Linked DNA regions of Callithrix jacchus. The protein of the gene in region 1 interacts with the protein of each later gene in a pairwise test. Links are inferred from orthologs where the notes say so. Each region holds a gene or a part of one and is shown in the gene's direction. Other genes may lie near its edges.

Region 1 (3,500 bases):
CCTCCACGGGTCCCACACCATCCAGGTCACCAGGGCCCTTGTGCCCACCTAGGACGGCCCCCCTACAGCGTAGAAGGCCTGGCGGAGTCCTCAGCTCCACAGAGGTGCCCCCCTTTGGTGCTGAAACACCAGAGTTGAGGGCGGCTGCAGCGTCCCTGTGGACTTTGCTAACCAGCACACACTTAGGTTTCGATTCTCCAGCAAGTCGGTAAACAGAGTGCTGTTTCCGTGAGTAAAGGTGGCCACCAGCAGGGTGACCGTCGAGGGTGGCGTTGAGGCTGCGGGCCCCGCCCCCTGGTGTCCTCAGCGCCAGGAACATCTCCCTGGATCTGCAGCCCTCCTGCGGCGACAGTGCGGTCCAGCATGCTCCCACCTAGAGCCATAAGGCAAAGGTGCCCGGCCCCTGAGCTCCCATCCAAATGTGTGCCACTTCGTCTGGCCAGGGATCTGGTCCCCTATGCCGAGCTCTGCTCTGCCCGGCAGGACCCGGCTGTCCCCTGAAGCCACAGGTTTGCGGTAGTGGCTGTGGGGTCTGGGAAGGGTGGCCCTGTGGGGGCTCCTCCCACAGCAAGTCTGAGCCTCTGCCCTCTGGTGCTTCTTCCGTCCTGTCTTCAAGAATAACAGGAGTCCACTGGCCGATGTCTCAGTTCTGAGTGCCCAATACTAAGTCAGGGACCCAGTACCCCACACACACCTGGGGACCCAGCCCTGCCTATTCCCCACCTGGTGGTGTGGTGGGGACCCTGCCATGCCAGCCACCACAGGGTGGCAGCTACCACCTAGTCTCTGAATGTCTGTTTTGTCCCCATGGAGCAGAGGCCACACCATGTGCCACAGATGGGGGCATGGTGGGGGTGGGCACAGGGAAGGGATCTTACCTGCCCCCCACCCCGGCAGGTGATCTGGGAGCCACTCACAAAGCCTCCCCTGGTGGACCCCAGGGTTGGACAGCGGCTTGCAGAAGAGTCCTGCTGAGCTGGGCCAGCAGGTGTTGGAGCAGGTCCACCTGCTGCGCGCCGGTGTGCGCGTGATCGGGCAGCAGGAGCCTGCGTCGCCTCTCCTGATGGCGTGCTCTGCCTCCTGTGTTGCAGGGACTCTGAACATGTCGGGGATCGCCCTCAGCAGACTCGCTCAGGAGAGGAAAGCGTGGAGAAAAGACCACCCGTTTGTAAGGAGAGCTTCATGTCCGTGTGCAGCGCAGTGGGCAGTCTCCCGGGTTGAAACTGTCACGTCCCTGCCGGAAGGGAGCCGGCCACGTGCCTGTGCCCAGCCACTGGGACTCACAGGCGGGTTCTCGGTGATCTTGGTGAAATGATGCCACCGCGCTGATGGGCTTTTGTGATTGTTTTCTCTCAGGGTTTCGTGGCTGTCCCAACAAAAAACCCCGATGGCACGATGAACCTCATGAACTGGGAGTGCGCCATTCCAGGAAAGAAAGGGGTAAGAGGCGCACGCTGCCGGCCTCCGCCTGGCGGGGCCCAGCACCACAGGGAAACCACTCAGATCCCTGCCGTCCGTGACAGCCATCCTTGTCACAGGTCAAATCCCAGCTCTGTCCTGGCCCCTGCCCCATCGGGACGTGAACGCAGAAGGTGGGACTGGCAAGGTTTGACAGCTGTATCCCCTCCCAGGGCAGTTCTGGTTGAGAAGGAAGCAGGCTGGCACCTGGCCGGGCACAAGGCTGAGCTGTGGCAGCAGGGAGGGGCTCTGATGTGTGTTGGGAACGCAGAGCTGCACAGGCGAGGTTGAGAGCAGGTGGAGAGGCAGGAGTCCTTCAGGATTCGGCTGCGTCCTTCAGCGTGTGGCTCAGCTTTCGGGAGCGGGTTTGTAGGGGGAGCCAGCCCTGCGTAAAGCCGCCTCCTGGAGACCCCCCAGGGACCGGCGGCGTCTGCCTGGGCGTCCTGCTTGGGGACCCCTGTGTGTCCCTGGCAGGCAGCACAGCCCATGTGCCTGTCTTCTTTGGCCCGCGCACGTGAAGCGCCTGGCCGGGGACTCCAGGCTGCGGTGCACGTGCAGTTCATGCTTGTTGATTCCGAAGGGAGCGGAGAGACCCCTGAGGTGCTGGTCCTGCCTAAGGCCTCGTTCCCTCCGGCTCTGGCCCCGCTCTGGGTTTCTGTGAAACTCAGAGCAGCTCTGGTCCCCTGAGCTCAGCAGCCCCCAGGACTCTGCCTTGCCCGAGACATAGCGTGGCTTGGGTTCGTCACTTGTCCGAGGCTCTGATGAGGACGTCCTTGCCCCTCACGTTAGGGCGAGGCTGGTGCACAGCGCCAAGGAAGGTGGAAGGTGGTGTGGGGTCGTGGGCGGCAGAGGTGCCTCGTCCAGGCGGGATGGGGGTGGGTGCTTGGGAACACCCCTGGGGTGAGGGCAATGCTGTGCTCTTGGTGCCCTTGTGCCAGCCCCAGTGTGCGGTGCTCTGCCCCCAGCCCGGCCCCCACCTCCCGCCTCCACTCCTTTCCAACTTACTCTGGGCACAGCAGAGGTCCTGACAGCCCTCTTGTTGAGGCTGTTCCAGGCTGCAGGCTGGTTTAGGAGCTACCTCTGTTGGGCCTCTGGCCCCTGGTGTCCTGGGGGCTGTGCCTGAGAAGCAGGCCCCTTCCTCCTGGGCCGCCCTGTGCGGGCGAGCAGCTCATCTCACCACGGTTTATTTCCCATTAGACTCCGTGGGAAGGAGGCTTGTTTAAACTACGGATGCTTTTCAAAGATGACTATCCATCTTCACCACCGAAATGTGAGTACCTCGCCATTCAGTGCCCTGGAAGGCACCCCTGGCTGCGGCCGTGGCGCCCTGGGCTGGGTGGTCTGCGTGGAGCTGGGAGGGAGATCACAGACCGGGAGGTCGCCTTTGATTCTTGATCCCGGCTGGGCTGCAGATTTGAGTCTGTTTCCAGCTCCGGGGCCGGGCGGTGCACACAGTAGGTTTAGTCTTGTCCTGGCTAATGGGCTGGGAAGCTCCAGAGTCTTGTGCACGGAGGGACTGAGAGCCAGGCCGGAGCTCCTGGACTGGGAGTGCCTGGAGCCTCACTGAGGACAGAGGACTTGGTGACCGCACGACCCTGCCCTGGATGGATGGATGTGCAGAGGGACTGCCATGCAGTCTCACCCTCTGAGGAGTTCTGTCGGTCCACCTTCTTACTGCTCCTGCTGTGTGGTCTCTTACGGTCTGTCCCCACCGTGGCTGCGTCTGCAGCCTGAGCAGGTATAGAGCAGGTGACAGCAGAGGAAGCATGGGAAGAAAGGCTGTGGCCAGGCCCCAGATCCTGCCCATAGCTAAGCTGATGACCTCAGCCAGCCAGTGCAGCAAAGCTCAGGAGGGAGGAGAGGGCCGCCGGGTCCCCGCCCTCCCATAGCTGGCAGTCGGCAGGTGGTGTCCAGTGAGTTCCACGCGTCAATGCACCCAGCACCTAGAGAGCGCCTGGCCATGGTGAGGCGACAGTTGAAAAAGCTTTCCCCTGTGATTGTCAGTCGAGGCACACAAGCATTCCACCGTGGCACCCACCCTC
Region 2 (4,021 bases), on another chromosome or scaffold:
GCATACAAGTCGCTTAATAAAAGAAATATAAAATAAAATAAAAAAAAACAAGCCCCTGAAAGTGAAATGTAATTACCAGGTTAAAAAAAAAAAAAAAATGCGCCCAGTTTCGAGAGCCTATCACAGCTCACGCCTGGGCGCCATTCCCCCCGACACTGCTCCTGTTGTGTCAGATAGTGGCAGTGTTGAGCCCAGGACCCGCGCCGAGCCCGCCGCGCTCCCCGCTGCCGCTCAGTCTTCGCGGCGGACTCAGGCGCGCAGGAGCCACTGGGCCGCGAGGGCTCCGGGGAGCGGGAGGGGCGTAGGGTGGGGGCGGCGAGGGGTCCCGGATCGCTGTCCACGAACTGTTCTCCTTTTCCCCGGGGGAGAGCCCCGCTCCCTTCAATTGACAGAAATTCACCGGGGCAGGGGGGCGGGTCGGGAGAGAGGTCGTTCGCGGCTGGCTACTGGCTGCGCCTCCCCCGGCTCCGGTCTCCGGGCGAGCAGCGTGGGCACCGGCGCCCCCTGCGAGGAAGAGCGCCGGGTGGCGGTCCCCGCTCGGCTGGGCCGCGCTGCCGCTCCGATCCTCCTCCCTCCCGCGCCCGCGCCCGCGCCCTCCCCCTTCCTTTTACTAGGAGTCCGAGACTCGGAGAGGGCGCCGGAGGCAAGCACACGGGCCCGACCCCACTCCAGCGCTCGCCGGGGACGCGGGCGGGCGGCGACGGGACGCGGCGGGGGCGCGGGGCGGGCGCGGCCATGGAGCGGCGGCGGCGGCGGCGGCGGCGGCAACACTAGCGACCGCGGGCGGACAAGCGGGCGGGCAGGGCCGCCGGGCGCTGCGGACCCAACTGCACAGCTCAGCAAAAGCGCCCTAGCCCTCCGCGCGCCGCCTCCTGCGAGCCCAAACCCTACAACATTTTTAACGCTCCAATCCATCCTTTGAAGAAAAGCAAAAAAAAAAAAAAAAAAAAAAAAAAGCCAAAAAAAAAAAAAAAAAGAAAAAAGCCAAAAAAAAAAAGCATTGATCGGAGAGACGGGGAGATATATATATATATATATATATATATATATATATTTATATATATAATTTTTTTTTGGCTCCTGCTAAAATTAGCAGGGCTCGCCGCGCGCCTGTGTGCGAGTGTGTGTGCGTGCGGGCGTGTGTGTGTGAATGTGATTACTCCAGGACTCCTCGGGCTCCGGAGACGCCATTTTCCCCCTTGATATCTCTCTCCATAAATCGGTGGCGCGGCGGAGGCGGCCGAGTCGGGCGGGAAGCGCGGGGCCGGCCGGGGCGCCCGCCGCTCGCCGCCGCCTCCGCGCGCCCTGGGGCCCCGGCGCCCCCCGAGCTAGGGCGGCCAGCCCGCGGCTCGCCGTTTGACAGATGCTCATCGCCATGGAGTTGCCGCAGCAGCACCTTTGGGGGCTCGGGCGAGCGACGGGAGCCGGGATCTGAGCGAGCGCCGGGGCCAGCGGAGCCGGAGCCGCCGGGACATGGGTGAGCACGAGCGGCGACCTTGGCCCGGGAGTCCAGGAGCCCAGCCTCCCTCCCCTCCGCGCCGCGGGCCCCCGTACGCCAGGAACCGGGGGCGACGTGTGTGCCCTGCATGCAAAAGTTCACGTCGCCTTGCTGGGTCTTTGACTTTGCACCGAGCGGGAAGGGGGAGACCGGGCCGAGGGGGCGGGATGCCGGGCCGGGCTAGGTGGCCGGAGATGGAAGCGATTCCGGCGGGCCGGCGGGTGGGCGGTGAGGCTGGCTCAATTGGAGTGGCTCGTTGGTGGCAGCGATGGTGGAAGCTTTGGGCTGGAGGGCTGGGAGCTTATTGAGTTTCGCCTAATCTGATCTCCCCCCCTTCCCCCGCTCGCCTTTTGCACCCTCCCTCGGTCCTGCCGCCGGCTGGCGGGGCTGGCGGGGCTGGCGGGTTTGGCGTTGGTGGAGTGGACTCGGGAGGGGGAGGGGGTAAGGAAAGGGGTGGGAAGGCAGGATTTTTTTTTTTTTTTTTTTTTTTTTGCTCTCTTTGTAACTTGCAGGTTAAGTGGAGCTAGAGAGCTACATTGTAACCTAGTTGGATTTTTTTGGGGGGGGAAATGTATCAGAATCTAACGTGTCGTTAATAGAAAGAAGAACAGGCAAGAAGTGGTCCAGCCGGCGAAGGTTGGTGTGTGCTTGTGTTGTGGCTGTGTGTTAGTCTTTTTCTTAAAAATCTTAATCAATGGATTTGAGTCTCTTTCTTATGCTCTCTGGTTTTGGGACTCTGAAGAGATAGGAATTCCCTTAAAAGCAGACGAATGCCTTTTTGAAAGCACGCATTGTGTGCGTTTCTAGAGGAGCCCTGGGCTTGGGAATGAACGGCAGGCTTCCCCGTTCGGTGGTTTCCAGTGGGAAATCACTCCGGAAAGGGAAGCCTTCGGTATCGATTTATTGTTTTTGTCTTCCAAACCATTATCTCTTTGACCAAAATACTGTCTGAGAAGTTCCACAGGGACAAAGTCAGGTAAACTGGACCGGGCAGATCTTTAGCAAGATGGTGATAACGGGGATGCTGTTTTCAGTGTCTGTTTGTGATGGAAGCATTGTTGGGTAATAGCAATTTCTGATCGGTAGAGCATGCTGGTTCTAAAAAAATAAGTTAACTGCCGAAATACTGTCTTCCAGCCCCTCTCCCCTGCACAGTACAGCACCTATTCCCCCCGCCCCCCCCATCCAGACCGCTTACTACAAGTCTGAAATAGGATCCAACTGGAAATATTTTCTTTGGAGATTGAAAGTTGTACAATTGGAAATAGGAGATGAGGCTAGAGGTACTGGGAGTGTGGAAGGGGAGTTCTTATTGCCCCCTGATGCTGCATTTATTCTTTATGTGTGTCTGAGTTGGATTCTCAGGGTGTGTATCTGTCTAAAAGGACTGTTGTGGGAAGGATTTCCGATTCGTTTCCGTTTCAAATAAACTGTCCTGATAATCTCACGGTTGACATCTAACGCTAAAAGGGCAATTTGTGTGTCTCTTTATCCCTGCAGAAACTCTCCTTCAAAAGGCCAGTTTATTCTGGACTTCTACAGCAGAGTCCTTTCCCTTCCAGCCCCTACACTCCCCCTACCTCCTGCCAAATATCCACACCTTTCAAACCTTAAAGTTTAGTTGGAGTCCACAAGGTTTCTAAGGAAATACTGGTATTACTTGTTTTTCTTTGACATCTTTTTCCTTCTTTTTCTTTTCATTCCTTCACTCTTTATCCTGTTTTTCTTCTTTTTCTGTATATTTATACTAAAAAGTAATTTCTTGAAGTTTCTGTGCTGTCACCAAAACTATCTGGCAATTTGGCACCATCTTTTACCCTCCTTTAGTATATAGGTATATCTCCTGTGCCCCATCCAAACTCATCTTCCTGTACAAAGCATGTGTGTGTTGTGGGAAAGAGGGGATGGGGTAGAGAAGAGTCTTTTGGAGAGGAAGGGTGGTGTTGAGTGCAGGCCACATTTGCAACACTGGACCAGACATAGCTGGGATGGGAAGGCGGAGCCAACAGGCCAGGGGTGTGTGAGGGAGGAGAAAGTTTGTAGTACTGTAAGATGTAGCCAGTTTACAATCCCAGGTCACTCCCCCTTTTTCCTTATTTCTGTGGCTTCTACCATCCTTAAACTCCCCGAGAGGCGTGAGCTCTTTTGCTCTGGGATTCCCAGGTTTCAGAGCGAAGGTGAAGGTGCTGTGTTTTCACCTGTGCTTAATTTCATTGCCTGTTGCCAGAAAAGGTTAAGACAGAGTGTTTTGAGAAAGTCGGAAGAGGAGGAAGAAAGAAATCAAATGTGGTTAAACAGAGTATTTGCAGGCTACAGGGAATGTAGCCACAAAAGATACGGAGACCAGGTACCCAGAGTGTTGTTGCTTGGCACAGGATCTCTTCTCCCCCATTAAGGGAAAAAAAAAAAACAAAACAAAACAAAAACAAACTATTGGTCTTGGGAAGAGTTGGTGTCAGACCTGGGCTGTGGGAGTTGCTAGCCACTACAGTAACCTGAGCTGAGCTGGGGGAGGAGGTGGTG
Region 3 (4,259 bases), on another chromosome or scaffold:
GAGATTCTCTTTCAGCCCTATTGAAGTCTTGGTCTCAAGTGACTACTCCAAAGACAGTAGTCCAAAAAGGTCTTTCCTGTTTACTATGGCCTTGAGGAATGTGGCCCTAAATCCACCGCTTTAAAGCTGACATTCCACCAGCACCAACATCTTCTCATTCTGGGGCACCTGCCTGGGGCAGGTCATCCTGCCTCTGCAAACTCAGTGCTACAGTTAACTCTCACCTGCCATATTCCAGCTGGAATCATTCCCGATTCTCCACCCCAGACTGGGTCATGTTATGTCATCATGGATGCACCTATTCTTCGTAGCCCTTATCACAGCTGCAACTCCTCATTTACTTGCCAGGATAATTTATGTCCATCTACTTCTCTAGGTTCCAAGTTCAATGCTGGCAGTCTTTTCTTTTCTTTTTTTTTTTCTGTTTTACTCACCAATTTCTCGCTAGCACTGAGCACAGTGCCTGGCACATGATAGGTGCTCCATAAACTTCTCAGCTGGATACCAGCATCCCTAAGGAAACATGGATCAACGCAGCTATAAGCACCGTGCAGAAACAGGAATAAGAAAAAGGTGGGCTTTGTTTTAGAGTAGAAGGTAAAGGGTTGCAAGGAGGTGCAACGGCCCCTGTAGACAGGACCCATGACTGCCACACATACGTGCACCCCGACACAGGGTGCACATACAGTAGGGGCAGAAACGAACTTTAAAGACATTAAGAAGTGCTTAACACAATTTTTTAAAGTGTGTCAAGTGAAAGCACGAAAATAAATTGAGGAAAGGCAAGTACATGGGTCAAAGCTGGGTGTGAGGAAAGGCTAACATTTTGAGGTCCTGACTCAATACACTGTCCCTGAAAGGGCCCAGGATGTCTCCACAGGAAAGCCCAAAATCTGGTGAGAGAGGGCGTGACTCTTCACCCTCTGCCTCTATGGGTCTCGAAAGCCAAGGTCACCCTGGTTGCCACTGTTCCTAGTTCAAAGTCTTCGTCAATCTACTCCTTTACCCTCATTCTCGCCTTCCACTCCACCTCCCGCTCAATCAGGCTCTGCGCTACTTTGAATCAAACCAAACCAGACATGCCCCCGGAATCCTAGTGAGGCCAATGGGATAACCGGATGCAGTTGATTTCACACGACACAGCATGCACCTTTGCAGAAATGGGAGTTCTGACCCTCGCGAGGCGGTGCGACCTGTCACCGCCCTTCAGCCTTCCCGCCCTCCGCCGAGCCCGCGCACGCCCCGCCCGCGCCTCTGACGTTCGACCCGGCACTCCGGCCCGATCCCAGCAACGCGCATGCGCGCGCGCCCTGGCCACTGGAAGCGAGAGGGCGGGGCCGAGGGGCTGAGCCCGCGGGGGGAGGGAACAGCGTCGATCACGTGACGCAGTTTCAGTGTTTACACGCGCAGCGGGCCGAGGGTTCGGCCTCAGTCAGGCGCACAGCTCCGTTTCGGTTTCACTTCCGGTGGAGGGCCGCCTCTGAGCGGGCGGCGGGCCGACGGCGAGCGCGGGCGGCGGCGGTGACGGAGGCGCCGCTGCCAGGGGGCGTGCGGCAGCGCGGCGGCGGCGGCGGCGGCGGCGGCGGCTGGGCCTCGAGCGCCCGCAGCCCACCTCTCGGGGGCGGGCTCCCGGCGCGAGCAGGGCTGAAGAGAAGATGGAGGAGCTGGTGGTGGAAGTGCGGGGCTCCAATGGCGCTTTCTACAAGGTACTTGGCTCCAGGGCAGGCCCCATCTTCGCCCTTCCTTCCCTCCTTTTTCTTCTTGACGTTGGCGGGGGCAGGCCCGGGGCCCTCTACCCCAGCGCCGCGCCTGGGTGCCAGGGCACGCTCGGCGGGATGTTGATTGGGAGGGAAGGACTGGACTTGGGGCCTGTAGGAAGCCCCTCGAGCTCCGCTCCGACTCCGAGAGGCCCTAGCGCCTAACGGGATGAGAGACGAACGAGGACAGGGTTCCCTTTCGGCGCTGAGCCCCGCCGGGGTGAGCTGGGGATGGGCGAGGGCCGGCGGCAGGTACAGGAGCCGGGGCGGGAAGGGCCGAAATCCGCGCTAAGTGACGGCGACGGCTTCTTCCTTCTTTCCTAAATATCTTCTCCCAGCGGGATCCGGGCCTGACGTGTGGGTAGTTGTGGAGGAGCGGGGGGCTCTTCAGCCGGGCCGCCTCCTGCACTGCCAAGAGGGTTTCAGGTCTCCTTTGGCTTCTCTTTTCCGGTCCAGCATTGGGACTTCGGAGAGCTCCCCTGCTCTGGGCGAGGGCTGTGAAGAAAGAGTAGTAAGAAGCGGTAGTCGGCACCAAATCACAATGGCAACTGATTTTTAGTGGCTTCTCTTTGTGGATTTCGGAGGAGATTTTTAGATCCAAAAGTTTCAGGAAGACCCTAACATGGCTCAGCAATGCATTGAAGACGTTGATCATCGTGAATATTCGCGCCCCCCCTTTTGTTAAACGGAGTAAATTCAGGAATGCACACGCTTCAGCGTCTAAAACCATTAGCAACTCTGTTACTTAAAAATTGTGTGTGTGTGTGTGTGTGTGTGTGTGTGTGTGTAAGTTTCCAGAAACCTAAATATATGCCATGGAACTTCAGGAAATTAACAGAGAGTATATTACTAGGGCATTTTTTAAACTGAGCAAAAATATTTTTGTGCCCTTAAGAACTTGACCATATTTCCTTCGAATTTGTGGTGTGGCAGTGGACTGAATTGTTGAGGCTTAGGGATCCATGGGTGTACTGTGCTTTTTAAAGTTACACCCTTGCAGATCAACTAACACCTTTCATTTTTAAAAGGAAGATTTACAAATTTGATGTAGCAGGAGTGCGTTTGTAATTCTCATTTCCTCTTGAATGTCTATAATCTCTGTAAATAATATTCCACCTTACTACAGTATTTTGGCAATAAAAGGTGCACGTGGAAGGAAGCATGGAAAATAGGTATTACCAGTGTCCAACACAATTCTTAAATTTATTAAAAAACGACTTCAATGTTTCAAACATGACAAGTTTGGTTAGGAAAATAGACAATTTGACTTTAATATATTCTGGGTTTACCAATTTTATGAAGACATTTGGAGATCAGTATATTTCATAAATGAGTAAAGTATGTAAACTGTCCATACTTTGAGCACAAAGATAAAACCTTTCACTGTAAAAGGAGGCACAAAGTAATCCCACGTTTCTGTTCTTAACAGTCTCACGAATATGCAGTTGTTTCAGTTGACTCTGCAGTCAAAATTTTAATTGCATTGATTTTATTGATCCGTATTTTTTTCTGGTGAGTTTGCGTAGAATGGTTCAGGGTCCTAGAGAGTTTGGTCACTAGATTCTGCCACTAATAACTGTATATACGTATATATATATGTATGAGTAAGGGCTAATGGGTAAGCAGGATTCTGATTGATATGTGATATCAGCTTAGGTTGGATGCCACTAAAGGTTGCTTACCACAGAGGGCAAGTAGCACATTCTGGCCTTGAAGTACTTATTGTTCTCTTCCAGCCACTTAGGATTTGCTCCAGTGATTTTGCTTGCAAACTGACTGGAATATAAGAAATGCCTTCTCTTTTTGCTATTAATTTCCCCCTTTTTGGGTTTTGTTTTGTAACAAAGTTGTTTAACTTGAAAGTAAATGAAGAATAGATTGGTTGCCCCTTAGTTCCCTGAGGAGAAATGTAATACTTGAACAAGTGTGTGTCAGAGAAATTGCTGTTATATTTATTTAAGTTTGATTTCTAAGAAAATGTCAAATGGTCTGCACTGATGGAAAAATGGTTTCTGTAACAAAAAGCTCAAAGTTTTTATATGACTTATAATATTACTGTGAGTTATAAAAGTAAAGCCAAAGTAAACTGAGTTGCTTGTCCAGTGGGATGGACAGGAAAGATGTGAAACAAAAACCAATTAAAAATGAACTACAATGGAGAAGTGTTACATTTATGGAAAAAGAAATAGGAACCTTGTTCAAATTGATAGAAAAGCTTTGAAAACGAAACAAATCAAACAACTTAGGTATAATTGAATTCAGACTTTGATTTGCTTAACATAACCACCATATTTCCTCTTTTTCTGGTGTTTCTTCTTAAAAACTTAAGTTAGATTTAGTAATCACCGGAGCCACTACTTTTAAGCTTAGGTATTTGACTTAGAAAAAGTTGGTCACGTGTACCACTTACAGAGCCCTGCTGGTGCTATTTAAGATATGAAGACACTTTGACTTACACCTCATGAAATCTTTACAAAGTGTTTTCTAAATGCATAATGATGA
Region 4 (3,500 bases), on another chromosome or scaffold:
TTGCTATACTTGAAGCATGCTTTTGGCTGATGAGATAGATCAGTAGGAAGAAGAGGATGTAACTAATGGATTAAATTTCTTTCTTTCTTTCTTTTTTGAGATGGAGTCTCACTCTGTTGCCCAAGCTGGAATGTACTGGCACAAGCTTGGCTCATTGCAATCTCTGCCTCCCAGGTTCAAGAGATTCTCCTACCTCAGCCTCCCAAGAAGCTGGGACTACAGGCATCTGTCACCACGCCTGGCTAATTTTTGTATTTTTAGTAGAGATGGAGTTTCACCATGTTGGCCAGGCTAAATTTCTTATATGCTTATTGGCCATGATAGTATCTGTGAATGTTTTTTATAGTGTTAAAGCTCCTCCCTTGTTAATGTTGCCACTTCACATTAATAATAGGGTGCTTGCCAAAGCCGGTCGTTTCTCCCTTGTCTTTTAATATATAGCTGGCAAAAAAATTCAAATAAATAATCTTGTGTCTGACTCAAGGTAAAACACTTAACCTTCAATGAGTTGGCTTGAAAACAGCTATTTTGATCCTTAGAGGATATTTTTCCTGATTCTTACCTTATTCTAGATCTTTATAACTGAGCTATCCAGCAACTTCATATAAGTGAACTGTAACTATAATTTGTTTAAAAGATCATAGTTACTCATTTTAAAACATTTTTAAATTTATTTTAATGTAGGTGATTGGAGTTGTGCTTCAAAAATTTCAGCAATTCAGCAGTATTTTATCTGCCAACAATAAGCTCTTTACTTGATTGCACCATGAGAAAGCTGCTAACGAGACTTCTTGAGCACAAAAATGGACTTGAAGAACCAAAAGCCATTGTTTTCAAATGAAGAACACTGAACAGTTTCAAGCCTCGATGCTTTTTAATCACCACTGAGCTTCTCCTCATAACATCAGAATGGCAAGCAGACGAAAATCAACAACACCTTGCATGGTCCTTGCCAGTGAACAAGATCCAGACCTTGAGTTGATATCAGATTTGGATGAAGGTCCTCCTGTACTTACACCTGTAGAAAACACCAGAGCAGAGAGTATTTCAAGTGATGAAGAAGTTCATGAATCTGTGGATTCTGACAATCAGCAAAATAAAAAAGTTGAAGGCGGATATGAATGTAAATATTGTACTTTTCAAACTCCAGATCTAAATATGTTTACTTTTCATGTGGATTCAGAACATCCCAATGTAGTGCTAAATTCATCCTATGTTTGTGTCGAATGCAATTTTCTTACCAAAAGGTATGATGCACTTTCTGAGCATAATCTGAAATACCACCCAGGAGAAGAGAATTTTAAGTTGACTATGGTCAAACGTAATAACCAGACAATCTTTGAACAAACAATAAATGATCTGACTTTTGATGGTAGTTTTGTTAAAGAGGAGAATGCAGAGCAAGTGGAATCTACAGAAGTTTCTTCGGGAATATCTATCAGTAAAACTCCTATCATGAAAATGATGAAAAATAAAGTGGAAAACAAACGGATTGCAGTTCATCATAACTCAGTTGAGGATGTTCCTGAAGAGAAAGAAAATGAAATCAAACCAGACCGTGAAGAAATTGTAGAAAATCCAAGTTCTTCAGCTTCTGAATCTAATACAAGTACTTCCACTGTAAACAGAATACATCCAAATACTGCCAGCACAGTAGTGACACCAGCAGCAGTTCTTCCTGGATTAGCTCAGGTGATAACTGCTGTATCTGCCCAGCAGAATTCTAATTTGATTCCCAAAGTCTTAATCCCTGTTAATAGCATTCCCACCTACAATGCTGCATTGGACAACAACCCCCTTTTACTTAACACCTACAACAAATTCCCTTATCCAACAATGTCAGAAATTACGGTTCTTTCTGCTCAAGCAAAATATACAGAGGAACAGATCAAGATATGGTTTTCAGCCCAACGTTTAAAACATGGTGTTAGTTGGACTCCCGAGGAAGTAGAGGAGGCAAGAAGGAAACAATTCAATGGAACGGTGCATACTGTACCTCAGACCATAACTGTTATTCCTACACAAATTTCTACAGGGAGTAATGGTTTACCATCTATTTTACAGACATGCCAAATAGTTGGTCAGCCTGGTCTGGTCCTTACTCAAGTGGCTGGAACAAACACCTTACCAGTTACAGCACCTATAGCCTTGACAGTGGCAGGGGTTCCAAATCAAACTAATGTACAGAAAAGTCAGGCACCTGCTTCTCAGCCTACTGCAGAAACAAAGCCTGCAACAGCAGCAGTTCCAACTTCTCAAAGTATCAAACACGAAACTGCATTGATAAACCCTGATTCTTTTGGCATTCGGGCAAAAAAGACAAAAGAGCAACTGGCGGAATTAAAAGTTAGCTACCTTAAAAATCAGTTTCCCCATGATTCAGAAATTATCAGACTTATGAAAATAACAGGCCTCACGAAAGGAGAGATTAAAAAATGGTTTAGTGACACAAGGTACAACCAGAGAAATTCAAAGAGTAATCAGTGCTTACATCTCAACAATGATTCCTCTGCCACCATTATTATAGACTCCAGTGATGAAACCACCGAATCCCCTACTGTTGTTACTGCACAGCCTAAGCAATCCTGGAATCCTTTTCCCGACTTTACTCCCCAAAAGTTTAAAGAGAAAACTGCAGAGCAGCTTCGTGTCCTTCAGGCAAGTTTTCTCAACAGCTCTGTACTTACAGATGAAGAATTAAATAGGTTAAGGGCACAAACCAAACTTACCAGAAGAGAAATCGATGCTTGGTTTACAGAGAAGAAGAAATCAAAAGCTTTAAAGGAAGATAAAATGGAAATAGATGAAAGTAATGCAGGTAGTTCCAAAGAAGAAGCTGGAGAAACTTCTCCTGGAGATGAATCTAGTGCACCTAAGTCAGGGAGTACAGGCAAGATATGTAAAAAAACACCTGAGCAGCTGCACATGCTTAAGAGTGCATTTGTCCGGACACAGTGGCCATCACCAGAAGAATATGACAAGTTGGCCAAAGAAAGCGGGCTTGCTAGAACAGACATAGTTAGTTGGTTTGGGGACACACGTTATGCTTGGAAGAATGGAAACTTGAAATGGTATTACTACTATCAGAGCGCCAATTCAAGTGGTATGAATGGTCTATCTTCCCTTCGGAAAAGAGGGAGAGGGAGACCCAAAGGACGGGGAAGAGGAAGACCGCGTGGGCGGCCTAGAGGAAGCAAAAGAATTAACAACTGGGACAGGGGACCATCACTCATAAAATTTAAAACTGGAACTGCAATACTTAAGGATTATTACCTGAAGCACAAGTTTCTTAATGAGCAAGATCTCGATGAACTTGTTAACAAATCACATATGGGATATGAGCAGGTCAGAGAGTGGTTTGCTGAAAGACAGAGAAGATCAGAATTAGGTATAGAATTATTTGAGGAAAATGAGGAGGAAGATGAAGTTATTGATGACCAGGAAGAGGATGAAGAAGAGACAGATGATAGTGACACTTGGGAACCCCCTCGACATGTGAA
Region 5 (3,955 bases), on another chromosome or scaffold:
CTTTGTTGAGGCCAGGCATGGTGGATCACGTAATCCCAGCACTTTGGGAGGTTGAAGTGGGCGGAGCACATGAGGCCAGGAGTTCAAGACCACTCTGGCCAACATGGCGAAATCTCGTCTCTACTAAAAATATGAAAATTAGCCAGGCGTGGTGGCGAGCGCTTCTAGTCCCAGCTACTTAGGAGGCTGAGGCAGGAGAATCACTTGAACCTGGGAGGCGGAGGTTGCGGTGAGCTGAGATTGTGCCACTGCACTCCAGCCTGGGCGACAGGGCGAGACTCCGTCTCAAAACAAAAAAAAATTGTTGAGCAAAAGTCAGACACAAAAGACAACTCTACTTATGTGAAATTGAAGGAGACAAAGCATCCTGTGGCAATAGGAAAATAGTACAAAATGTCCTCTCCACTTGAGTCATTCCAAGCTCCCTGTTTGTTGTTGTTGTTGTTGTTGTTTTGAGACGGAGTTTCGCTGTTGTTACCCAGACTGGAGTGCAATGGCACTATCTTGGCTCACCGCAACCTCCGCCTCCTGGGTTCAAGCAATTCTCCTGCCCCAGCCTCCAGAGTAGCTGGGACTACAGGCGCGCCACTAATGCCCAGCTAATTTTTTGTATTTTTAGTAGAGACGGGGTTTCACCATGTTGGCCAGGATGGTCTCGATCTCTTGACCTCGGGATCCACCCGCCTCGGCCTCCCAAGTGCTGGGATTATAGGCGTGAGCCACTGCGCCCGGCCACTCCCTGTTCTTTTCAGAGCTTTCACAAAGGAGGATCACCAGGCCGCACATTGAAAGCAACTCCAACAGTTGCGGTTTCGGTTGCTAGCGCAAAAGCCGCGCTTTGAGAGGGTGGGGCACACGCCCTGGGGCAATCTGGTCTTCAGTAAACATGGCGGCACCCATAGAGCGCCACACCCAGATCACCAGACCGCGCGCAGTCGGCGCTCGTCTCGGTCGGCTCACTGGGGCGCGCCTACTTTTAGATTGACCAATGAACGGGAGGCGTAAGGCATGCCCTCTTTCTTTCCCTCTCCACCAATAATCTCCCGGTCCCTTCCACAGGACCCAATCACCGCTTCGGTCTCTCTTGAGTGAAAAGGCAGCGGCCCAGTGAGCAGAGCTGTAGTCTGACGCAAGAGGCAGGAAGCGCGGCAGCTCGTGCGTGAGCGCCCGCGGATAACCGAAGTCGGAAGGCGCTCCTAGCAGCACGCGAAGAACGGGAAGTCAGGTGAGCGGCGGATCCCGGGCGCGGGGCCGCGGTGTGGAGACGTCTCGCCTAAGAACGGGAGTACGAAGGGAGACGTTGGGAGCTAAGGAGAAGAGGAGAAGGGGTCGCGAGACGAGGGGGTCGGGGCGGTTGGGTGTCTGGCGCTGTGTAGTGGCCGTTGGGCACCGGAGCGCATGTGCAGGGTCTGGGGCCGACCGTTGGTGCTCAAGTTTCGGGGCCCGCTTCCGGGAGAGGCTGTCATGGTCCCCTCCGCTCAGAACTCTACTTAAAGTCTGCCACTCCTTCCGAATAGACCGCGCGGCGGCCTGGGGCTGTTTGGAGAGGGACGAGGGGGAGACGCCGGGGTCTGGGGCCTGGTGGGAGAAGTCTGAGCTTCCAGATGTCAGGGGTTTCTTTGGGTCCGAGGGACTTCCCCCTTTCCCAGTTTTCCTTCTTCTTAATTCTATTTTTACGGGATTCGAGATGCTGAGATTTAGGACAAATAAGATTTTCTTTTGGAAGTAGGAGTCCCCAGTAGGGAATAAACTCCGGGGTGGAAAGCCAGCCTGTCTGGGGACACTTAAGGGTAAATGGGTACACGTGGCGTGTCTGGATTGTCAGTTCCTTGCTGTCACATTTCAAGTTAATCCGCTCCTGGCGCCTCCGCGGTCACGGCCACCCACTTAGGCGGGGAAAACCCCTCCACATCCTTTCCTGGTCTAATCTGTTTTGAGCTTTAGATCCTGTCCATCCCGCTTTCTCGAAAATTTTGTATTTTAACAAACTTAATTTGTCCCAATTTTTCTCTTTTTTTTTTTTTTTTCCTGAGACAGCCTTGCTCTGGCCAGGCTGGTCTCGAATTCCTGACCTCAAGTGTTCCAACCGCCTCACCTCAAAGCGCTGGGATTATAGGCGTGAGTCACCACGCCCAGCCCCAGTTTCTTTTTTTAAATTTCTTTTTCTTGAGAAAGGTTCTTTCTCTGTCACCCAGGCTGGAATGCCATGGCGCCATCACGGGCAGCCTCGACCTCCTGTCTCAAGCGATCCTCCTGGCACAGCCTCCCAAGAAGCTGGGACTACAGGCCCGTGCCACCACACCCGGCTAACTTTTTTAAAACATTGTTTTTGTATAGACGGGGTCTAGACTTACTGTCCAGGTTGGTCTCAAACTCCTGGGCTCAAGCCATCCTCCCACCCTGGCCTCGCAAAGTGCTGGGGTTATAGGAGTGTGCCACCATGCCCAGTGTATTTCCTTGAAATACACCATATCTTGGCCACCTAGATTTAGAGCCCATCGTAGACTGTGGCTCTTCTTTACCCATGGATTGCTCAGGGGATGGTCCTGTCTTGTGGCGTGTCCCACCCTTTCCTTCCCTACCTCGCTCTCCTATCTGGTTACTTCTCTTTCATTTGGTGAGGAGTTTTCCCTGCTGCTGGTCTTAACCTCCCACTTTATCAGTGGAGTAAATTACAGTACTCTTGGGCAGATCCTGATGAGTCACTCAACTCTGGCTTAATTAGTAATTCCCCATTGCTTAACAAATTAAGTACACATGCTCTGGCGGGGTGTGGTGGGTTGCTGATGCCTGTAATCCCAGCACTTTGAGAGGCAGAGGCCGGAGGATTGCGTGAGTCCAGGAGTTCATGAGCAGCCTGGGAAGCATGATGAAACTATGTTTCTACTACAGATAGAAAAATTAAGCATGTGGTGTGCACCTCTAGTCCCAGCTACACAGGAGACTGAGGTGGGAGACTTACCTGGGCCTGGGATGTTGAGGTTCCAGTGAGCTATGATCGCACCCCTACACTCCAGCCTGGGTGACAGAGCGAGACCCTGTCTCTGAATAAGAAAATAAAAAGTACCCAAGCCCTGTGCCCGACCAGCTCCTCAGCTTTGTCTTCTGCCCTGACTTCAGCCGGCTAGTCCTACTCTCCATACCCCAAAAGGCTCTGGTGCTTTTTGGACTGACCTTTCTTGGGTCCTGTTCTTTTCCCTGCTGTCTGGGAAGTGGCCCCTTCAGATTGCCTGTTTGAAGGGTCAGATGAAGAGAGATGCTCAACTCTGCCTTAACGCCTTTATTCTAGTTCCATTTACTCAGCCGTTGCTAGAGCGCTTATCTGCTGTTGTAGACACAGGGCAGGGCTGACTGGAAGCGGTGCTTTTCTAGTTGGGGCTGCAAGGAAATGTCGTCCTTTCGGAGCAAAGGAGGCCCAAAAGAAGTCGGGGATTTGTGACCCTTCCAGACAGCAGGAACAGCAAGGGCACAGGTGCTGAGGTGTGTTTGAGAGACAGCAGCAAGGCTGGCGAGTGAGGGGCAATGGGGGAGATGAGGTCTGAGTATACAGGAGCTGGGTCAGGAGGGGCCTGGTAGGCTGGGTTTGTGGGGACTCTCGAGTTTTTTTTTTTTTTGAGCATGGTGGGAACCCATGAAAAGTTTTGAGCTGCATAGTGATGTGCCCTTAGGGTTTTTTCTTTTCTTTCCTTTTTGAGACAGAGTCTCATTCTGTTGTCATGCTGGAGTGCAGTGGCACAATCTCGGCTCACTGCAACCTATGCCGCCCGGGTTCAAGCGATTCTCTGCCTCAGCCTCCCAAGTAGTTTGGATTATAGGCGCCCACTACTGCATCTGGCTAATTTTTCATATTTTTGGTAGAGACGGGGTTTCACCGTGTTAGCCAGGATGGTCTTGATCTCCTGACCTCATGATCCGCCTGCCTCGGCCTCCCAAAGTGCTGGGATTACAGGTGTGA
Region 6 (3,500 bases), on another chromosome or scaffold:
TCCAGCCTGGCTGACAGAGCGAAACTCCGTCAAAAATAAATAAATAATAGTTAGAACCATGCCAGGTACTAGCAAGTGCTCTGTGTTCACTATGATTTTGATTGGATTGACAAGTGAACAAATCAACAATGTCAGTTAGGCAATACCCTAAATGGTAGAATAGGGTGGGCCTTGTGTTAGGAAAGTGACGAGGTCGTACTTAGCATTGGTGGGTGAGGGAAGGAGTCTCAGAGTGAACATTCAAGCTGCTGCTCAATGACAAAAGGGGGGCCAAGTGTCAGAGTAGAGGGCGCCCACTGTACGGGGCTGTGGCTGGGAGGTCAGGGAGGGCGGGGCTGGGCCCGGGGTCCCACGGGCCCCTTAAGCCCTGGTGAAGAGTCTGCATTTTATTCCAAATGGGATGGAAAACTGTTGGAGGATTTTTAGCAGAGGATTGACAGCATCTGACTACACTACCAGTTGCTATTTAGAGAACAGAGTGGCAGTCAGGAGGCTGTCATCTGGCAGGAGACGGAGGTGCTTGGGACCTGCAGGGACACAGCCAGATCCAGGGTCTGGGTGGGAGGCGAGCCCATGGGATTTGCTGGCACATAGCCAGGTGGCCTCAAAGACTAAGGTCTGTTCTGGGAGGAGGCCCTGAGACCCCTGGCACAGGAGGGAGGTGACCTGCGGGTTGGTGGCCACCTGATGGGACTAAGCTGCTTCTTTGACAGGGGCTGCATCGTGTTCTCGGGCTCCTATGCCTGGGCCAACTTCACCATCCTGGCCTTGGGCGTGTGGGCTGTGGCTCAGCGGGACTCCATCGACGCCATAAGCATGGTGAGCCAGGGCGGGGGCCGAAGCACAGGGCGACACACGGCCTGGCTCTGCCTCCCTGTCCCATCCCAATCTTCCTTCTCTTCCTGGGGCCACCACTGCCTGTTGTCTAAAGCCTTTTTCTTCAGCCTCCCGGGTGTCAGCCCATGCCTGTCTTTGGGAGCGAGCATGCTACTCTTCTTGCCTGGCTTAGAGAAGCCCAGGTCTGCCATTATCTCCCCCAGGAAAGCCAAGGGGTGCCCCAGATTGGCTTCTCTGCAAGAGCAATGGAGCATTCCCTATAACCTGCCTCTGGGGCTCTCTTTTAGGGGAGAGGACATGGAGACCCAGCCAAGGGGGCACGCCACTACTTTAGGAAGGAGAGGTGACCCAGGCCGACCGAAACTTCCCACAGGGGAAGCTTCTTAGCACCCACCAAGCCCCGTGGGGCAGCGTGCACCCCCTGCACCGGCTCTTCAAGCCTTGGCCAGGGCTCGGGGTGACTGAGGAGTGAGAAGGGATTTCCTTTTTCTTTTTTTTTTTGTTCTGAGACAGTCTTGCTCTGTCGCCCAGGCTAGATTGCAGTGGTGCGATCTCAGCTCACTACAACCTTTGCCTTCCAGGTTCAGTGATTCTCCTGCCTCAGCCTCCCAAGCAGCTGGGACTACAGGCATGTGCCATCATGTGCGGCTAATTTTTTGGATTTTTAGTAGAGATAGGGTTTCACCTTATTGGCCAGGCTGGTCTCGAACTCCTGACCTCATGATCTACCTGCCTTAGCCTCCCAAAGTGCTGGGATTACAGGCATGAGCCACCGTGCCTGGCCCTGAGAAGGGATTTTCTTCGTGTTGGAGACAGACTGGGTGAACAAGGAACCTTCCTTTATGGAGGTTCTAGAGCCCAGTCTTGTGCCCATCATGGTCTTAGAGGTGATCGAAAATGGGTAGGGAGGGAGGCTCTGTGGAACCGAGACCTGAGCCCCCTGCGTCCCTGCCCCTAGACTGCAGTCTCAGCCAGCCGCTCCCCTGTGAGTCCTGCCTGCTTGCTTGCTCAGTTTTCCAGCAAGCCCCAAGGACACAGTAGGGCATGAAACAGCTTCGCATCTGGTACATGGTGGGGAGCCACGGGACACGGCAGGGCTCTTGTGCTCATCAGTGCCTGTGTCTTGCAGTTTCTGTGTGGCTTGCTGGCCACCATCTTCCTGGACATCGTACACATCAGCATCTTCTATCCGCGGGGAAACCTCACGGACACGGGCCGCTTCGGCGCGGGCATGGCCATCCTCAGCTTGCTGCTCAAGCCGCTCTCCTGCTGCTTCATCTACCACATGTACCGGGAGCGCGGGGGTGAGCTCCTGGTCCACACTGGTGAGGCCACCACCTCTGGCCAGCTCCCCACCACTCCCTTCTCTCCCTTGCCTGGCCCCCAGGCTCTCCCCCAGTGAGCTGGCCTTACCCCATGGGGCCAGCAGGAAGAGCATGGCATGGGCACTCTGTACCAGGCTGGAGGAGTCCAAGCTCCTGGTCTCTGCTGCAGGAGCCCAGGGGTCCCCTGACTGTCCTGGTCCGCTGCGACCTTCTCCTGCTGTGAGGCTAAGGCTAGGCCCTTCTCTCAGCCTAGAGCACAGGCACAGCTGGGGGTACCATTTAGTTCCCAGGGGCAGCCCTGGGCTATCTCCAGCATGAGGGCCACCGGCACCTACAGGTCTCCTCTCTGTTCTCACCGGGCCCCAACACTGGAACCCCATTTCCTGCCACGTGGGGTCTTTCCTCTCCTGCGGCAGAGATTGTGCTAGGTAGCCAAAGGAGAGCCTGCTCTAGCGTAGGCTGTGTGAGCCTCAGCGAAGACGGCCCTGAACTGTGGGCACTCCCCGTACCCACCAATCCCTCCCCACTCGCCCATCCTCACCCTCACCCCGCCCTCTCCCATGCCCTTTCCTGTACCCCTTCTGCTGGTGGCCGAGCTGTTTGCCTGCTCTCTGACACCTCTGTCTCTCCTTTCTCTTTGAGAGGAGTGGAGGGAGGTTGTGGGGTGTGGCCTTCTACCTTTCACTCCTGAGAAGAGAGGCCTCAGGTGGCCTGTGACTGCCACCAGCTGGTCGAGGGTAAGAATGGCCTGGGGCTGCCCCCAGGGAAGGGGTGCCAGAATGTATCTCCCATTGGACAGATGAGGAAACTGAGGCCCACAGCCCTTGGGACGTGCTCAAGGTCTCAGGATGAATGTGCAGAGGAGGGGATGAGAGTGAGGAGTGTGGGGTGTTTGGAGCTACAGTCCTGCCTTGGACTCAGCCCCAGCCTCCAAGGCCATCTGGATACAGTAATGTGGTGTCCTTCTGCCTGAGAGGGGAGCTGGAGAGGAGTGTGTGGGCCCGGGGCTGGTGTCCCTCTGCCCAGGTTCCTGAGCACTTGCTGCCTGAGGAACCACCCCATGGCACAGTGGCCTGGAGCCTGGCTTTGGGCTTGGCTGCCTAGGCGTGGGTCGCAGCATCATCGCTTCGAGCTGTGTGATCTCAGCAAGTCAGTTCATCTCTTTGACCCACTGTTTCCTCATCTGTAAAGTGGGGATGATACCTGCTGCAAGGAGTACGGGAGGATTGAATGAATGATACACGCTAAAAGCTTAGTGCCTGGGGCTGCTGCCTCTGTCTCTGTGGTGGTGTCAGGATGCCTGGCCCCAGGGTGGCAGGGGTAGATCTTGCCTTGGAC
Region 7 (4,267 bases), on another chromosome or scaffold:
AATGCCAAAGGGGTTCTGGGGTGTTATATAGCAGATCATTTATGCTGAGAGCTTTTATTACAGGCTCTTAGGAATATTGGCATTGTCACAATAATAAAAATAAAGAAGCAATTAAATAACATTGCAGTTTCTCTCTTCTGAAATGTAATAAGAGGACTTCATATGCATGTGATGTCCTGAGTACAACAAATACTCAAACAAGATAATACATAATTCTCTAAATAGAATGTTTTCAGTGTGTAAGTTTATATGGAGAAAGTGCTCTGAAGGTCTGCAGGGAGGAGTAGACATGGTCCCAGCCCTCAACATCTTTAATGACATGTCATGGAAAATGACACAGGTACAAACATAATTAAATCACCACAAAAGGGATAAAGGATGGGGAGTAACATACTTTTGGGGAACAGAAAAGGCTTCAGAAACTTGGGGAAAATTTGGAATGGACCTTGAAGCACAGTAAGATTTCATGAGATGATGATTAAGGTTGGGAGAGGAGGAAGGATGTGAGAATTTGAGGGACAGGAAAGAAAAGGAACTGTCCAAGTGTTCAGTGTGGTTAGGAAACTGGGTTGAGGAATTGCCTAAGGCTAGAAAGTGGGTTGGAGTTAGGATGTATCAGACCATGGCTGACCACTGTTAGGAAGATTCTGCAGTTGTTGATATAATAGTGATCTATATGTACATATGTATGTATGTGTATGTCTGTGTGTGTGTGATGTGGTTTAAAAAATATATATATATGTCATCTCAAACTTACAGAAAAGTTGCAAGTACAGTAAAACAACTTTTCTTTTTCCTAAATTATTTAAGAATAGATTTCCAATCTGATGACCTATCACCCTTCATTATATAGCTGAGTATATATTTCCTACAAAAAAGATATAACCACAATACAGCCATCAAAATCAGCAAATTAGTAGAGCTACAATACTACAATTTAATAATCAGATCCAATGTGAATTTCACTAAGGTAGGTGGCTTCTGGAAGCTGGAAAGGGGATTCATCCCAAGAGTTTCCAGAGAGAAAGGCAACCCTGCCAACTCTTTGATTTTAACCCAGTGAGACCTCAGTAAGACTGCTACAGAATCCTAAAACAGTAGAGTGTGTGTGTGTGTGTGTGTGTGTGTGTGCCTATGTGTTTAAGTCACTAAATCCATGTAATTTGTTATGGCAGAGAATAAAAAAACGAATACAAATCATTATCACTGTATTTCCCTAATCAGTCATACCACTGTGGTGCCAGGCCGTGTAGAATCCAATCTTCCTATAAGCGTTCCTGGCAGTAAAAAGAAAGAAAGGTGATAGAACGTCTGCCTGTTGTACATACAGACTGGAAACAGTATTCCCTTCGGATGACTCCTTTAAAAAAAACCTTGCCTGTTCTGCAACGCGAGCCATGACTGCACAACTCTGCCCCTGCCAAGAATCATTTTCTTAAGAAATTTGTTTTCCTAAGAGTTATCTCTAGAGACACTCCGAGAAAACAGCGAGGAAACACAAATTATTTTATGTTTCAATTTCCTGAATGAAGCAAAGCAAACAAGGTGCGAAGCAAACAGGGTTCCAAGCCCTGACGGCCCAGAGACTGCACAGCGGGCCCAGAAGCAGGAGCGCCCCCTCGACGGGCGGCGTAGCCTCTGCGACGCGGCTGCGGGCAGCTCCGGGAGGAGGATCTCAACCCCAGTGTTGCCCCACTCCGGTAGGCCCTGCCGTCCCCCGCCTCCCTTTGCGGATGTCTTGAATAGTGTAGGGGTCTAGGGGAAACTTCCCCTTTGCTCTTTGAAGGGCAAAGGCAGATTAAATAGGAGAAATAGCATATACATTTATTAATGTGCACGGGGGAAAAAATCACAGTAATTATACTACTGTACAATGGGGTACAGATGGTTATATTCCCTACTTTTTAGGAGAAAGGGAGATTGGGAAGTGTGGATGATTATAGGGTTAGTAAATGGTTTTTAAGGGAATTCAAGGGACTTGAAAAACATACAGTGGCCTTGGACAAAGCCTGTTGGGCTTGCAGAGCAGACAGTGGTTGTAACAAAAGTCTCTCTAGGTTTGTTGACGGACTTCGGACTTCTTTCTGTGATATGAATTCAGTTAATAAAAACTCAGGGGGCCGGGCGCGGTGGCTCACGCCTGTAATCCCAGCACTTTGGGAGGCCGAGGCGGGCGGATCACGAGGGATCGAGACCATCCTGGCGAACATGGTGAAACTCCGTCTCTTTTTTTTTTGCCAATCTCTTTGAGCTTATGAGGTTGCTCAGTTTAGCCTTGAACTCATGACCTCACCTTCACAAGCGCCACGACCTCCGGCGGGAGCCACTTTGGCCCCCAACTCCGTCTTTACTGAAAAAAAATACAGGCCGGGCGCGGTGGCTCAAGCCTGTAATCCCAGCACTTTGGGAGGTCGAGGCGGGTGGATCACGAGGTCAACAGATCGAGACTATCCTGGTCAACATGGTGAAACCCCGTCTCTACTAAAAATACAAAAAAATTAGCTGGGCATGGTGGCGCATGCCTGTAATCCCAGCTACTCCGGAGGCTGAGGCAGGAGAATTGCCCGAACCCAGGAGGCGGAGGTTGCGGTGAGCCGAGATCGCGCCATTGCACTCCAGCCTGGGTAACAAGAGCGAAACTCCGTCTCAAAAGAAAAAAAAAAAAAATACAAAAATTAGCTGGGCATGGTGGCTTGTGCCTGTAGTCCCAGCTACTCGGGAGGCTGAGGCAGAATTGCTTGAACCCGGGAGGCGGAGGTTGCAGTGAACCGAGATCGCGCCACCGCACTCCAGCCTGGCCCCTGACGACAGAACGAGACTCTGTCTCTAAACAAACAAACAAACTCAGGGAAGGGACTAGAGGTAATTGTTTTGTTTTCCGGCAGGTCCCAAATTTAAGCAGATAAGAGAATCAGTGCACCTTCGTCTGGTGCTTTGGGAGAGACAGAGGAGGAGGGGGAGGTCAGAGAGACCTTGAGGCATCTTCAGTTCAGCATGTCAAAGTGCCATACTTCGGGGTATCAGTTTCTGAGCCCCGGTGATAGCAGAAGGATCCAGCTCAGAATCATACTTTGTATTCAGTTGTGACGTCTCTTTAGTCTCAGTGTGGACATTTTTTAGTCTTTCCTTGGCCTTCTGAACTTGAAACTTTTGAAGAGAACAGGGCAATTGTATTGAAGAACATCTCGATTTGAGTTTGTCTGATGTTTCCTCATGCTTAGATTCAGGTTATGCATCTTTGGCAGGACGATCATCGAAGTCACGTTGTGTTCTCAGTGCATCCTGTAACATGTTACATTATTTTGATTTATTCCATCATTTACTTTGATTATCTCATTATGTTGATATCTGCCAGGTTTCTCCAGTGTAAAGTTACTCTTTTCCTCTTTGAAAGTAATAAACACTTTGTGAGCTGGGCGTGGTGGTTCACGCCTGTAATCCCAGCGCTTTGGGAGGCTGAGGCGGGCAGATCACGAGGTCAAGAGATCAAGACCATCCTGGCCAACATGGCGAAACCCCGTCTCTACTAAAAAAGTACAAAAAATTAGCCGGGCGTGGTGGTGCATGCCTGTAGTCCCAGCTACTCGCAAGGCTGAGGCAGGAGAATTGCCTGAAACCGGAAAACGGAAGTTGCAGTGAGCCGGGATTGCACTACTGCCCTCCAGCCTGGCAGTAGAGCAAAACTCTGTCTCTATCTCAGTAAACACTTTGTGGGGAAGAATTTTGAAGATCACTAAAAATTCCGTTCCTCACCAAAATTTCTAATTTATCTGGATGTAGTTTTCTACTTTAATCAGCAGATTTAATCAGTACTACCATTATCCATTTTAATCTTTAATTTTTTCCGCAGATTTGGTCACTGAAAACCATCTCAAGCTGGATTCTGTGTCCTTTTGACATGTTGTCATCATTCTTTAAGCATTTCCTTGCTTTTTGGTGTCATAAGATGTCCCAGGCTCATCTTGCAGTTTTTCTGTCCTGGTTTTGGGATCAACCATTTCTCTAAAGAGTCCTGGTTCCTTCTAGTGGAGAATGGTATCAGAAACCAAAGTCTGGGTGCTGAGTGTGCTCATTGCTCATTGTGGTTGTCTCTGCTCTCAGGCCTTCTCAGCAGACAGAACTGGGGTATATATGTATTTGTATATACACAAAATACATACATAGGTCTATCTATCTATCTATCTATCTATCATCTATCTATCTCAATCATCTATCAGAAACCACAGCTGCAAGATTACATTGAAATCTAGTTCCAATCAACAGTATT

Evidence for each region.
Region 2: the proteins of UBE2I (region 1) and SETBP1 interact in a two-hybrid assay, tested with the Homo sapiens proteins (2 studies listed by BioGRID). The two-hybrid records come from large-scale screens. The link is inferred for Callithrix jacchus from reciprocal best matches to the Homo sapiens genes UBE2I and SETBP1.
Region 3: the proteins of UBE2I (region 1) and FMR1 interact in a two-hybrid assay, tested with the Homo sapiens proteins (2 studies listed by BioGRID and IntAct). The link is inferred for Callithrix jacchus from reciprocal best matches to the Homo sapiens genes UBE2I and FMR1.
Region 4: the proteins of UBE2I (region 1) and ZHX1 interact in a two-hybrid assay, tested with the Homo sapiens proteins (2 studies listed by BioGRID and IntAct). The link is inferred for Callithrix jacchus from reciprocal best matches to the Homo sapiens genes UBE2I and ZHX1.
Region 5: the proteins of UBE2I (region 1) and DDX39A interact in a two-hybrid assay, tested with the Homo sapiens proteins (3 studies listed by BioGRID, with this or other methods). The link is inferred for Callithrix jacchus from reciprocal best matches to the Homo sapiens genes UBE2I and DDX39A.
Region 6: the proteins of UBE2I (region 1) and AGTRAP interact in a two-hybrid assay, tested with the Homo sapiens proteins (2 studies listed by BioGRID and IntAct). The two-hybrid records come from large-scale screens. The link is inferred for Callithrix jacchus from reciprocal best matches to the Homo sapiens genes UBE2I and AGTRAP.
Region 7: the proteins of UBE2I (region 1) and NMI interact in a two-hybrid assay, tested with the Homo sapiens proteins (3 studies listed by BioGRID and IntAct). The link is inferred for Callithrix jacchus from reciprocal best matches to the Homo sapiens genes UBE2I and NMI.

Annotation. Positions count from the first base shown.
Region 1 is NC_133513.1:3,569,106-3,572,605, forward strand, and holds part of UBE2I (SUMO-conjugating enzyme UBC9), read left to right. Parts: intron 1-1,091; 5' UTR 1,092-1,102; coding exon 1,103-1,168; intron 1,169-1,356; coding exon 1,357-1,440; intron 1,441-2,655; coding exon 2,656-2,728; intron 2,729-3,500. UniProt on the Homo sapiens protein: Accepts the ubiquitin-like proteins SUMO1, SUMO2, SUMO3, SUMO4 and SUMO1P1/SUMO5 from the UBLE1A-UBLE1B E1 complex and catalyzes their covalent attachment to other proteins with the help of an E3 ligase such as RANBP2, CBX4 and ZNF451.
Region 2 is NC_133514.1:87,688,399-87,692,419, forward strand, and holds the start of SETBP1 (SET-binding protein), read left to right. Parts: upstream 1-1,221; 5' UTR 1,222-1,477; intron 1,478-1,999; exon of another isoform or gene 2,000-2,134; intron 2,135-4,021.
Region 3 is NC_133524.1:144,482,037-144,486,295, forward strand, and holds the start of FMR1 (fragile X messenger ribonucleoprotein 1), read left to right. Parts: upstream 1-1,459; 5' UTR 1,460-1,655; coding exon of another isoform or gene 1,656-1,706; intron 1,707-4,259.
Region 4 is NC_133517.1:74,119,159-74,122,658, forward strand, and holds part of ZHX1 (zinc fingers and homeoboxes protein 1), read left to right. Parts: intron 1-684; 5' UTR 685-909; coding exon 910-3,500. UniProt on the Homo sapiens protein: Acts as a transcriptional repressor. Increases DNMT3B-mediated repressive transcriptional activity when DNMT3B is tethered to DNA. May link molecule between DNMT3B and other co-repressor proteins.
Region 5 is NC_133523.1:13,199,756-13,203,710, reverse strand, and holds the start of DDX39A (ATP-dependent RNA helicase DDX39A), read left to right. Parts: upstream 1-1,155; 5' UTR 1,156-1,285; exon of another isoform or gene 1,286-3,480; intron 3,481-3,955. UniProt on the Homo sapiens protein: Helicase that plays an essential role in mRNA export and is involved in multiple steps in RNA metabolism including alternative splicing. Regulates nuclear mRNA export to the cytoplasm through association with ECD.
Region 6 is NC_133508.1:49,632,902-49,636,401, forward strand, and holds part of AGTRAP (type-1 angiotensin II receptor-associated protein), read left to right. Parts: intron 1-713; coding exon 714-819; intron 820-1,966; coding exon 1,967-2,162; intron 2,163-3,500. UniProt on the Homo sapiens protein: Appears to be a negative regulator of type-1 angiotensin II receptor-mediated signaling by regulating receptor internalization as well as mechanism of receptor desensitization such as phosphorylation.
Region 7 is NC_133507.1:79,062,588-79,066,854, forward strand, and holds the start of NMI (N-myc-interactor), read left to right. Parts: upstream 1-1,467; 5' UTR 1,468-1,526; coding exon 1,527-1,700; intron 1,701-4,267. UniProt on the Homo sapiens protein: Acts as a signaling pathway regulator involved in innate immune system response.